Linked DNA regions of Rhinolophus ferrumequinum. The main gene of each other region encodes a partner of the protein of the gene in region 3 in a complex. Links are inferred from orthologs where the notes say so. Each region holds a gene or a part of one and is shown on either strand. Other genes may lie near its edges. The genes, in order: LAMTOR5, LAMTOR2 and FLCN.

Region 1 (3,746 bases), on a different chromosome or scaffold from region 3:
TACAATACATTTCCACATATAAGGGCAACACAAGCCTACCTGCCTGCAACTATGTCTGGTAATAGACATGTCACTACGGCAGAGTTGACAGATTCATTATTATATAAAACATTAACTGGACACAGTGCAGACTTGCAGGCCTTGGAAGTTTCTTAAAGGAACTCATTTAGTTTATTTCCTCACTTGAATTTCAGCCTTTCCATTAGTGAGCCTGGCAAGCAACCCCCACTTCACCCCAAAATCTGCCTTTTTTCTCCTGATTTGTGTGTAAAACCTAAGTTACACAGATTACCTCTTTCAGTCACCCTCCCAGCAAAAATTCAGAGCTTTAAAAAGTCCTGCAATAAAGAAGAATAAGGAACCCTGGGCTTACTAGTTCTGACATTAACCAGCTGAATGCTTTAGTTATTAACCTTTCTGGATTTATTTCCTCATCTGTAATTGTTACCATTTATTGAGCATGATGTCTGGGTTCTTTGCTGTTTTACACATATTAAATAATCTTACAGTAGTGTGAGGAAGAGACTTAGGAGCCAGACTCAAATCCCAGTTCAATCATTGCCTTATTATCTACCTTAGGATGAAATGACTTAGTACATGTAAAGCATTTAGAATGGTGCCTGAAACAGTAAAAACTCACCAAATGCAATTTAGTTATTATTATTATTAAACAACTACCCAGTAAAGAAACTGAGGCTTAGAAAGGCTCTTTTTGGTCCAAGTTCATACTACTAGTAAACGGAAGAACTGGAGGTTGAACCCAGCTGGGTCCAACTCGGAAGCCGTTTTTACTGCCTACTCACTTATTGTTATGTGTGGTTGGACTAAAAACTGGCCCTACCCATCTTGCAGGAGTATTAAAAAATTAGATATCAATATACAAAGCCTAGCAGTCCGAGCATATGGCACACATTTAACACATGTAACTGCTGTCATTATCTGAGGTCCTTTCTAGCACCAATGTAAAATTAGTGAAACACTATTTTCGTAGAAACCACCGTGCAGTACTAGCACTGCAAGGCACAGTTCTACCTTCATACATTTCAGTTTTCTAATCTCGTTATTTGGAGTAATCGCGACTTTCAGAAAAGTACCTAGAAAGTGGCAGGATGACAGGAAATAAAAACTAGAGAAGAACAGCACACTAGACTCCTACTCAACACGAGTGCTGTGCCACCCACCGAAGGGTTGCCGTGGAGATACTTACAGCCCAGATTAAGTCCTTGTGAATCTGTGCACAGGACTCCAACAATGGATGGATTCTTCATTCTAATGCCAGGAACATGATGTAAGAAAATGAATTTAAATAACTACAATAACACAGACAGGCTTTCTAAGTACCAGGCCTTGTGGTCTCAGTGCTTTAAATCAGTGTTTCTCAACCTTTCTCCATTATTACCCCCCACCCCGAGGAAAATTATAATGAACTAATTTAAATATGACACCCGTTTCTCTCCGATGAAAGACTGTCAGGGAGCTTTAGTGGCCACAAACATTTCATTAGCTAGGATTTTGCTGCCCTTGTTAAAAATACATGCGTTAGCATGTTAACTCACTTAAAATAGCTGCCTCCCGGAGAGGAGCTGGGCTGCCGGGGGGCACTGGTGCGAAGGAGGTGTCTCCCTGTGCGCCTCCTTATTTGGGGTTTTACGTGGAGAGTCCTCGTCCGAAAAACTGAAGGGATGTCCTTTACCTCGGGCACCCAGTGACTGGTTAAACACGGAAGCACAAGCGCTTGTGTGTTTATGTTTACGCTGCAAGGCTCGTCCGCACAGACGGTACTACACACCCTTCCTCCAGATGGACCCATTTCCTGAAACTGCCAACAACCCTGACCAGACACAATTTCCACGTGACGGGCGGTTCAGCCTCGGGCTCTGGCCGCGGAGACTCGCTCCGGAGGGAGCACACGGAGTCCGGGCGGGACTTGAATTCCGGGTTACCGGCTCCCCTGCGGCCTCGGGACACAGTTCACCACCTGCCCCCGTTGCCTGGGGGTCGCGCGGCGTCCCCTTGCCGCCCGGCTGGCACTCGCAACTTACACCCTTTGTCCCGCTCAAGTCTCTCCGCCGCGACCTCAGGGCAAGCCGCAGAAGCCGTGTCACTCACGTGTCCTCCAAGTGCTGCTCCAAGGTCGCCTCCATGTCGCCAGCCGTCCAACCCGGGCCCGGACGCCGCAGGTAGTCGCTGCTTCCTCCGCCACTGGCCGCCAGCACTTCCCGATCACATGACACAAGCGCGACGCGGGCTGGGACGGCGCCTCCGAAGGGCCAAACTTCGCGGCGCAACCTCCGCGTTGTGTGCTGGGAGCGCTCCCTCGGTTCCCGCCGCCCGAGCTGGGCCCGGGTGCTGCTGCCCGCTTGGTGACAAGTGAGGGGACCTGCGCCGGGCTCCGTCCGGAACCAGGTGGCGCAGGTTTTCCCCCGCAGGAGAGAGGTCTGCAGCTGGTCATCAGAGCCTCGGTTCCTGGCCAGCCACTTTGTTTTAGGGATGTGACCTTTGGATTCCGACTCAACCGACTCCGAAACGTCGGCGGATCCTTGTATTCGTTTTACCGTAACCTGGCGGTGGGGCAGGGACGGAGAAAAGACACAGGGGCCCGGTGAAAGGGTCCGCAGGCTTGGAGGGGAAACGACATGCCCAAGGAGCTAGAAAGAGGACGAGATGGGACAAGGTGAAAACCCCAGTTAGGTATTGGGAAAATGTTGGGATTTTAACGAAGACATTGGTTCTTCCTTTGGCGAGGGCTCAGGTGAATCTGGGAAAGAAGACTGGGTAGGACAACTTAAAAATAACTTTAAAAAATTAATTATGAAACCAGTTATAAAAATAAGGAAAGAAAGCCACCCATAGCCTCCGTCAAGATGACTATTAATCCCTTGGAGAATATCCTTTCAGCCCATTGTCTGCAAATGTATGAGTTTAATTTTTTTTTAAGCAAAGTTGATATACATACTGGACACAATTCTGTAGCTGTCCATTTTTACAGAATTTAGCATAACTGTCTTTGCATGTCGATAAGTATTCATATACATCTTTTGTAATAGTTGCAAAATAGTTACAGTTACAGCTGTACCTTGATTTAGCCAGCCCTTTATTAATATGAGTTGGGTTGCTTGTGGATTTTGCTTATATAGTTCTGTCCCTACCCGTGGTAGTGAAATTTGCAGCCCTTAAAATTCCAGTCTTGAATGTTTTGATTCAGAAGTTTTGGACACCTGCCCTGGAGAAATTAGTTATGTTAACTTAGGACAACATAATATGGACCATTTAAATTTTAGAAAAATCAGTTTAAAACTACGCTTAGAAAACAGTATTAGAAGATGAAGGGAGCGAGCCTGCTTCCCGCCAAAGTCCTGCGGGAGGCAGCTGAGCACTGCAGTACCGCCCCCTTGTGGTCCTAGGTGGCCTGGCCCACTAAAAAGTAAAAGGTGAAATTAATTTTAATAATATATTTTATTTATCCAAATAATATGTCCAAAATATCATTTCAACATGTAATCAATTTAAAACATAATACTAAGATATTTTACAACCCCGCCCTCCCTCCCCACACCCTCGCTCCCGTCTCGTGTCTTAAAAATCCAGCATATATTTTTCCACCGAGCACATTTCAATTCAGACTCACCACCTTTCAGGTGCTCAATAGCCACGTGTGCCAGTATGGCTACCATATTGGCCAATGCAGCTCCAGGCTATTTCTGATGATCTCAAAGCCAGATCAGTGATTAAGGATTCTCGGAAAA
Region 2 (3,746 bases), on a different chromosome or scaffold from region 3:
CAAGCGCACAGTAGGCACCCGAGGTCTCCGCGGCGTCCCCCGCGCGCTCTCCCGGCTCAGCACCATGCCCGGCCCCCATTTTGCCTCGGCGCCCCGAACCCCCATAAGTAACCGGGGCGCAAGCCCAGGGTCCTTCCCCTTCCCTGCGCAAGGTGTCCCCCTCCCCTCTCTCCACCACGCCCCCAGTCCAGGCCACAAGGCAAACCCCGGCCTCCCTTCCCCAACACGCGTGCCATGCTCCTCCAACTTACCCTCGCAGGACGCCCCTGACCCGCCTCTCCTCCCTTCTCGCTCCTCCGAGTGCCGTCTGGGCCCCCGCCCTCCTCTCCCAGGCCCTTCTTTGCGCCCGGCAGTCCCGAGCCACCCCCCTCTCTTCGCGGACCCCTCCTCCGCGCTCCCCCCGACGACCGTAGTACCTCCTTGACCGAGGCTCGATCGCAGATCACAATTTCCTCCTTGTCCTTGGGGGTCTTGACGGTGACCCGAATGGGGGGCCTCGTCTCAGCCCCGCTCGGCTCCGCCATGCCGCCGCCGCCACCCGGCCGCCCGCCAGCCCGCTCCGGCTCCTCCTCCTCCCCGCCCGCCCCGCCGGCCCGGCTAGGCTCCGGCGCCTCCAACACTCCCCTCTCCTCCCCTCCCCTCCCCAAGGCTTCACCGCCCCCTCCGGACCAGCCGCAGCCACAGCGCCCCGGGCGGACTGGGGGGGCCACTGCAGCAGTGTCCGCCCAGGGCCGAGCCTGGGGTCCCGCAGCCTGGTCTGGGCCTCGCTGGGCGGCGGCCCCTGGGGCGCTCGGGACGGGGGCGGGGCGAGTCCCTCACTGCTGGGGTGAGGGGCGAGCGCCCCACGGGAGACCACAGCCCATCCGAGCGGGCCAGAGCTGAGCCGAGGTCCCCTCCGACCCAAAACAGCTCCTGCCCCCACCACGGGTCACTCCCGCTGCGGGACAAAGGACTCTGTGTCGCCGCTTTATCTCCGTCCCCTGCGATAGCTGGTCTTTTATTGAGAAGCCCAAATCCTTCTCGGGCCTGGGGCCTCTGCCGACTGGTAGGATGAATTTTCCCACTTCTGGACGTCCACCTAAAATCTCATCTCTAGAATTGATTTCATTCCCCCGAGGATCGTGGCCTGAATGAACTCTATTAGGTACTGTTCCAGCGACCTGGGTTTTGCCTGCATGGCCTTCCCGAGCCTTAGTTTCCTCAATAGTATCTATGGCTTCATCACCCAGAATTGTGCATAATGTAGAAAATTGCTTTGAAAAGCAACCAAAGGTGTGCCTAACAAACACAGGGATTTTATTTTTTTATTTTTTTAATTACTGAGTCGTGGATTGTCAAGCGGACATGACTTTTCTCTCCCCGAGGGGGTTAAATGTCCTTCCAATACCGCCAATGTCCTTTCACTCCCGCTCTTTTCCCCCACAACCGCGTGGTCTCAGTGGAAAGGCGAACTATCGTTCCCAGGATGCCTCACGAGGCCTCAAGGAACTACAATTCCCAGTGCCCTCCGCGGTAAAGCGGGGTTGAGTCAAAACTACAAAACCAGGCGGAGAAACTACAACTCCCAGGGCGTTCCGGAGCAGGTCAGCTGAACTACCGGAAAGGGCTGGCGGAGGCCCGCAGGAGGCAGTTCGGAGGTCTGGGTGCAAAAACCCAGGTTTGGGAGCTGCAGGCATGCTACGTCCCAAGGCTTTGACCCAGGTGCTGAGCCAAGCCAACACTGGAGGTGTCCAGAGCACCCTGTGAGTGCGGACCGAGGACCCGAGCGACGAGCACTGGAGTCGGGCAGCGCGCGGCTCTCCGAGGGAGGGGTGGGGAAACATCTCCGGGAAGGGAGGAGGCAGAGTGGGCAGCCGCCTTGGAGGGCCCCTCTCGAAAGGGGAAAGCGACGGCCTGGGTGCTCTGGGCACCTTCTAGGACACACTCAACCTAGACCCTTGCTTTCTAGAAGCGCCAGTGGCGGGAGCTGGGATGGGAACCCAGGACTCTTACTCCCCATCCTGAGCACGTCGCTGCCCCTTCCGGTTCCTCGCCAGGCTGCTGAATAACGAGGGATCTCTGCTGGCTTACTCTGGTTACGGGGATACTGACGCCCGGGTTACCGCCGCCATCGCCAGTAACATCTGGGCCGCCTACGACCGGAACGGGAACCAAGCGTTTAATGAAGACAATCTCAAATTCATCCTCATGGACTGCATGGTATGGAGTGGGAAGCCACTTCCTCTGTCCCCCAAAGGGATCCCCGGGGCGACCTGGACCCGGTCCCGGATGGTTGGAGGGGCAGGATCTCGGGAAGATTGCTAAGAGTTGGCCCGCAGCACCATTTATCATAGGCAGAACCCTGTGCATCACAGTGGTGAGGAAGGGGCCCTGGACCCCGGGTCTGCCTGGGGTTCTGGTCTCAGCCAGCCACTTACCGTCTGTGGAACCTTGGGTAAGTTACTTAACCTCTCTGAGCTTCCTTATCTCCTCTCTGAGGTGGAAACAATAAACCCCGGTCCCCACCTCAAGGGGCTGTGGTGAAGATCAACTAACAGAGTGGATGTAAACTGTAGAGTGAGGTACACACAAAGTGCTGTCATGCCAGAGTCACTGACTCACAGGCCTATAAGAGTCTCCAGACCCTTGTCTAATCCCTTGAGGAAGGAAAAAATATGTAAGTTAAAAAAATAGTATGTTAGATTTCTAAAAACGCTATGGAGAAAAATAAAGCAAGGAATTGAGATAAGGGTGGCATGCGCCAGGGATAATCTCACTGAACAGGTGACATTTCATCACAGATTTGAAAGAAGTTGGCAAGCCATGTGGCTGTCTGGGGCATAAACATTTCTGATGGAGAGAACAGCAAGTGCAAAGGCCCTGAGGCAGAAAGGTGCCTGGTCACAGATCGACAAGGGAGATGTGGCTGGAGTGGCATGAGAATGGGGGGAGGATGATAGATGATGCCAGACAGGCAGTACATGGTTCCTAGCACACACTGGATACCTAGTGAAAGTTTGCTGAACCGAATTGAGAAGGCCGCAAGAATGAAGGGTTTCCACTGTACTCAGCTACCTACCACTTCCTGGCCCCCATTCCAGCCAAGGATGCATTCCAGTTCAGCCGATGACTCCTGGGTGCCCAGCTCAGACCTAGTGCTATAGGGCAATAGCTTTCAAACATTTGACCACAGCCCAGCTGTAAGAAACACATTTGATGCTGGAGCCCCGTGCAAACAATCACTCGCTCAAACAAGTTCCCTGACTACATGCAATGCATTTCTCTTCATTTCTCTTCTTTTCCTTCCTTTTTTCTTTCGATGCTAATCAACCTTCTTAATTAATCTCCTAACCCGGACGTCGGGTGTGCAGTTTGAAACACATTGCCATTGGAAAAGAGAACTAGGAGTGGGGTTTCTGCTCTCAAGCCTCTTATAGTGTCTTGGAGGTGAACCCATAATAATAACATAGCCCATTAGAAGAGCCCGGAATTCCTTCCCGTGTGCTAGTACCCTCAGCAACTGGGATGAGGTAGGGGTTACAGAAAGAGAACCGAGTTTCTGGGAGATTGAGTTTTCTGGGGTGACTTGGTTCGTGGCTGTGCTGAGGCTGGAATCTGGGCACAGGACCCCATGTCCAGGGCTGTGGCCAAAGCCCCCAGCTGAAGCTCCAACCCTGCCCGGGGCGTGGAAGGAAGATACAGTCTGTCTCACGAGGAGCCCGTGGGGAAAGGGGGCTTAGGGTGCCAAGCAGGGCCTCCCATCCCAC
Region 3 (3,746 bases):
GAATGAGGACAGAAAAGTAGGGGGATGCAGATTTGGGGTACCCCTCCAGGCCATGGGAAGACCCTGAATTTTTTTCAGAGATTGGAGAGCCTTTGGTGGGTTCTGATGAGAAACATGATACATTGGAATCTTATTTTAAAAGGATCATTCTGGCTGCTGTGCAGGAAAGAGACTTTGGAGCCAGGGCAGAAGCAGGGAAACCAGCTGTGGCGTTCCCACTGCCTTTCGGGAGAAGAGACGGTGGCCTGGGCTAGGGTGGGCGGTGGGAGGTGGTAAGGGACAGTCAGACTGTGACGCTGTTCCCATAGCAGAGCCAGCACTGCTCAGGGGTGGGGCGGGAGCGTAAAGACGGGAGCAAAGCTAAAGGAATGTGGGCAGCAGGAGAAGAACAAGTGAGGGGCAGGGCAAGAGGCAGTGCCTGCTGGGCCTCCACAGGAGCTGATGGAATCTGGGGGCAGAGCGGAGGGGGGCGGGCAGTCCTGGGGGGGATGGGAGCACCTCGATGGGGTCTGGGGCCCTCCAGAGCTTAGATGTGAGGGAGAGAAAGAGCTGGCAAGGGGGACAGAGAACGAAAGACAGTGAAGCAAACTCGGGTTACTCCAGAGACAAAGTGAGCAAAACAGAATCACGGGAGAGGCCGAGTCCTGGAGGAGGTCGTGGGGGCTGGGCCTGGGCAGCAAGTCAGCAGCTTGTCCGTCGCTGAGGGAGGGGATGGGGACGCAGACACGAGTGCCCTCTGGTCGGGAAAATCGGGCAAGGCTTTCCAGGTGGGAACATGTCCACGCGGCTGACAGGCAGGAGAGGTCCGGAAATGAGAGAACCCAGGAGCAAAGCCATAGATGTAGGACAGTGGCAGCCCAGCTGGCCTGACCCGTGTGACACAGAAGGGCCTGAAAGCCAAGCTAAAAAGGGAACGTGTATTCTCTAGACCCATGTTGTCCAATCCAGTAACCATGAGTCATGTGGCAACTTACATGTAAGTAAAATGAAAAGCCCCTTTCCTCAGTCTCACTGGTCACACGTGGCTCAGTCACCATTTTAAAAGGCCAGTGCAGATCATGGAACATGTGCATCATCACAGAAAGTTCTATCGGACAGCCTTGCTCAAAACAATGGGGAATCATTTAAGTTTCGGAATGTCTGAGGAGTGGACAGTGGCCAGGTTCTAAACCCTCTTCTCCTATGGGGACCCCATCCCCCGTTGTGGAGCCAAAGATCACAATCCTCTGTCCTCACCCCGTAAGCAGCACGGGCACGGCCGTGGCGCGGCCAGTCACAGGTGCCTGTCTGGGACGCTGAACCTCGAGAAAGGAGGCAAAGCAGCAGCCAGTGTGAACACGCACAGCAGGGATGGGGTGTCCCCTGGCGGACAGCACCCTCAAAATCTATTTGCACTGTGTCCCTGGATGTGCCTCCGGGCAGCCTCCCTGCTGCTGGCCCTGCTCACAGCCTAGCCTGCCTGCCCCCTGTGCCACCCACCTGATGTTTTGCAATCAACCTCTCAGCTGATGTGGGCAGGGGCTGACACTCAAGTGGTTACAGCAGGAATGGCAGAGGCCGGCACAGAACAGACATATGAAGAGAATGGCAGGTGTGCTGACAGCAAGTCAGGCCTAGCGATCAGACATGGGGAGACGGGTGGCTGGCAGGTACGGAAACCCGGGGCATGGGTAGATTGTTCTGCAGGAGGTGGGCAGTGGGAGAGAAGACAGAGTTTAAGAGCTGGGAGAACATGGGGTTGAAAGCCCTGCGAGTTCCGTGGAGATTCTGGACCGCAGGATCAGAGAAGGCAGGCCTGGAGAGAAAGGCCCTGAACACCCCCCACGGCCTTCTCCTGCCTCGCCCCTCCTCACCAGTCTGCGTCTCCTTGCGCGTCCCCTTCTAGGAGAAGCTCCCGGTCAGCCCACCCAGAAGAGCTGTCACCTCCCACTTCCAGCCCACCACTCGATGCCCGCCCCGCTGGATTCCAGTGGGATGAACGTCCCCAAGGGAGAGGCTTTGTGTTGTCTACAGCAGCTCCCAACACACGGGAAGGACCAAATCACTAGGCGTTGGAGAAACGAGGGAATTTAGAAGCTGCCCACAGAGAGATGACAGTTGTTGCCACAGAAGTGGAGAGCTCATCAAGGGTATCGACAGGCAGGAGAGGTTCAAAAACGCAACCCTGGGGAACCCGAGTCCAGGAGCCTCGTGTCACCAGAACCAAATAAACCAAATTGACAGAAAGGTTCCACGGGGCTCCTTACAGGGAGGTCAAGGAAAATAATGGTTTCAAATCCACTGTGGAAGAGGCGGTGAGGCAACCACTGAGGGAATAAGAACCTTGAAGACAGGTATTGGGACTCAAACTAAAGGCAGAGGAGTTCACCCTGGACAAGGGGCCACGTCTCCCTCGGAGAAACAAAGAAGAGAAATAAAGACGGCTTCGGGCAAGACGTCCACATGAAAGCAGCCCTGGGCCCAGGTCACCCCACCTGCAGCGCATCCATACGAACTTCTATCCTCAGCAGAACCACGTCCCTCATCCTGCCTCGGCTAGTGCATGCAAGGCCATTTCCAACTGAGTCAAGGAGGACAACGGCAGCCATACTTCAGCTCTAAGACCTGACATTTTCTAGGTAAAGAAAAAAAACCAGAGCTAATTCTAAGGGCAATGCACTTTGTGGCATGAAAAAAAGTTCAAGCAGCTTACAGCCAACCTCAAATTAGAGCAACACAAAAGAGGATTTGGGGGTTCCAGTGGTTCTGCATGGCTTAGCAGGCCTTTCTCTTTTGAGCAGTAGCTGACAGCAGGCTGACACTGCACACAAAGCCTTGACTGAAGTTACACCTCTATAGCAGTACTTCATAAAGGCTCTCTTGAAACATAGTTATATTTAAATATTTTTGTTAAATATGAAACATAAAAAAGTACAATGTAAGTCCTACTTTTGGTTATAAGGCAGTGGGGTACTCTAAATAACAATTAGCTCCGGAGTCCCACAGACCTTCTGCTCCCACAGACCTTCTGCGTTGGACAAAAGCCTGTCTCCAGCCCTTACCAGCCACATGATGTCAACACGTTACTTTACCTCTCTGAGCACCACCCTAAAGCTGAGAAACAGAGGGCCAAACCCCACCTCTCAGTTAGTGGAATCAAAATTCTGGGCAGCATGAGGTCACTTCTTTATTCATGCTCCCATTCCTGAAAAAAAACAATCTGGTTTGCGTATGCCTAACAGTTCTTCCTTTCCAACAAGCTTTCCAGAATATAAGGAAGAAGCAGAAACCTTCACCCATCCAACATTATACTCAAAGCAAGTTCTCAAATACCTAGAAGCAGCAGCGTCCTTCTTCGTGTCCGGCTCCCACAGTGGCTGAGCCTGACCTGGACGCTGATGTCCCAACCGTCCTCCCACTTCTGTGGTGCGTCCCCCCCCACCCCCCCTCTGCACCTATTTAAATCCCCACTTCCTGTGGTCTTCTCACAAGACCACAGAGGATTAAAGATAACAGTTAAGTATGAATACTCTGCAATTAACTGAGGTATTAAAATGGCTCTTAACCAGTGGTCTGCATCAGAATCCCCTGCAGCTTCTCTAACTAGTCTCCCACAGGGGAGCCTGTTGGGATTCCAGCAAGCCAAGGTGGAAAGTTCCACAGGGGATTACTTCCTGCTCAGACCCACTCACAGGGTGGCTCTACTCTATCTACCGACTTCACTTGGATTTCTGTTTACAGAGCTCCCTGACGTATAACACTGGAAG

Evidence for each region.
Region 1: FLCN (region 3) and LAMTOR5 share a complex: the UniProt entries of both Homo sapiens proteins name them as parts of the lysosomal folliculin complex. The link is inferred for Rhinolophus ferrumequinum from reciprocal best matches to the Homo sapiens genes FLCN and LAMTOR5.
Region 2: FLCN (region 3) and LAMTOR2 share a complex: the UniProt entries of both Homo sapiens proteins name them as parts of the lysosomal folliculin complex. The link is inferred for Rhinolophus ferrumequinum from reciprocal best matches to the Homo sapiens genes FLCN and LAMTOR2.

Annotation. Positions count from the first base shown.
Region 1 is NC_046305.1:42,347,367-42,351,112, forward strand, and holds the start of LAMTOR5 (ragulator complex protein LAMTOR5), read right to left. Parts: upstream 2,259-3,746; 5' UTR 2,145-2,258; coding exon 2,110-2,144; exon of another isoform or gene 2,043-2,109; intron 1,270-2,042; coding exon 1,208-1,269; intron 1-1,207. UniProt on the Homo sapiens protein: As part of the Ragulator complex it is involved in amino acid sensing and activation of mTORC1, a signaling complex promoting cell growth in response to growth factors, energy levels, and amino acids.
Region 2 is NC_046305.1:672,640-676,385, forward strand, and holds the start of LAMTOR2 (ragulator complex protein LAMTOR2), read left to right. Parts: upstream 1-1,563; 5' UTR 1,564-1,674; coding exon 1,675-1,742; intron 1,743-2,036; coding exon 2,037-2,199; intron 2,200-3,746. Other genes in the region: UBQLN4 (ubiquilin-4), read right to left, coding at 417-524. UniProt on the Homo sapiens protein: As part of the Ragulator complex it is involved in amino acid sensing and activation of mTORC1, a signaling complex promoting cell growth in response to growth factors, energy levels, and amino acids.
Region 3 is NC_046304.1:1,500,910-1,504,655, reverse strand, and holds the start of FLCN (folliculin), read right to left. Parts: upstream 2,992-3,746; 5' UTR 2,589-2,991; coding exon 2,475-2,588; intron 2,414-2,474; exon of another isoform or gene 1,480-2,413; intron 1-1,479. UniProt on the Homo sapiens protein: Multi-functional protein, involved in both the cellular response to amino acid availability and in the regulation of glycolysis.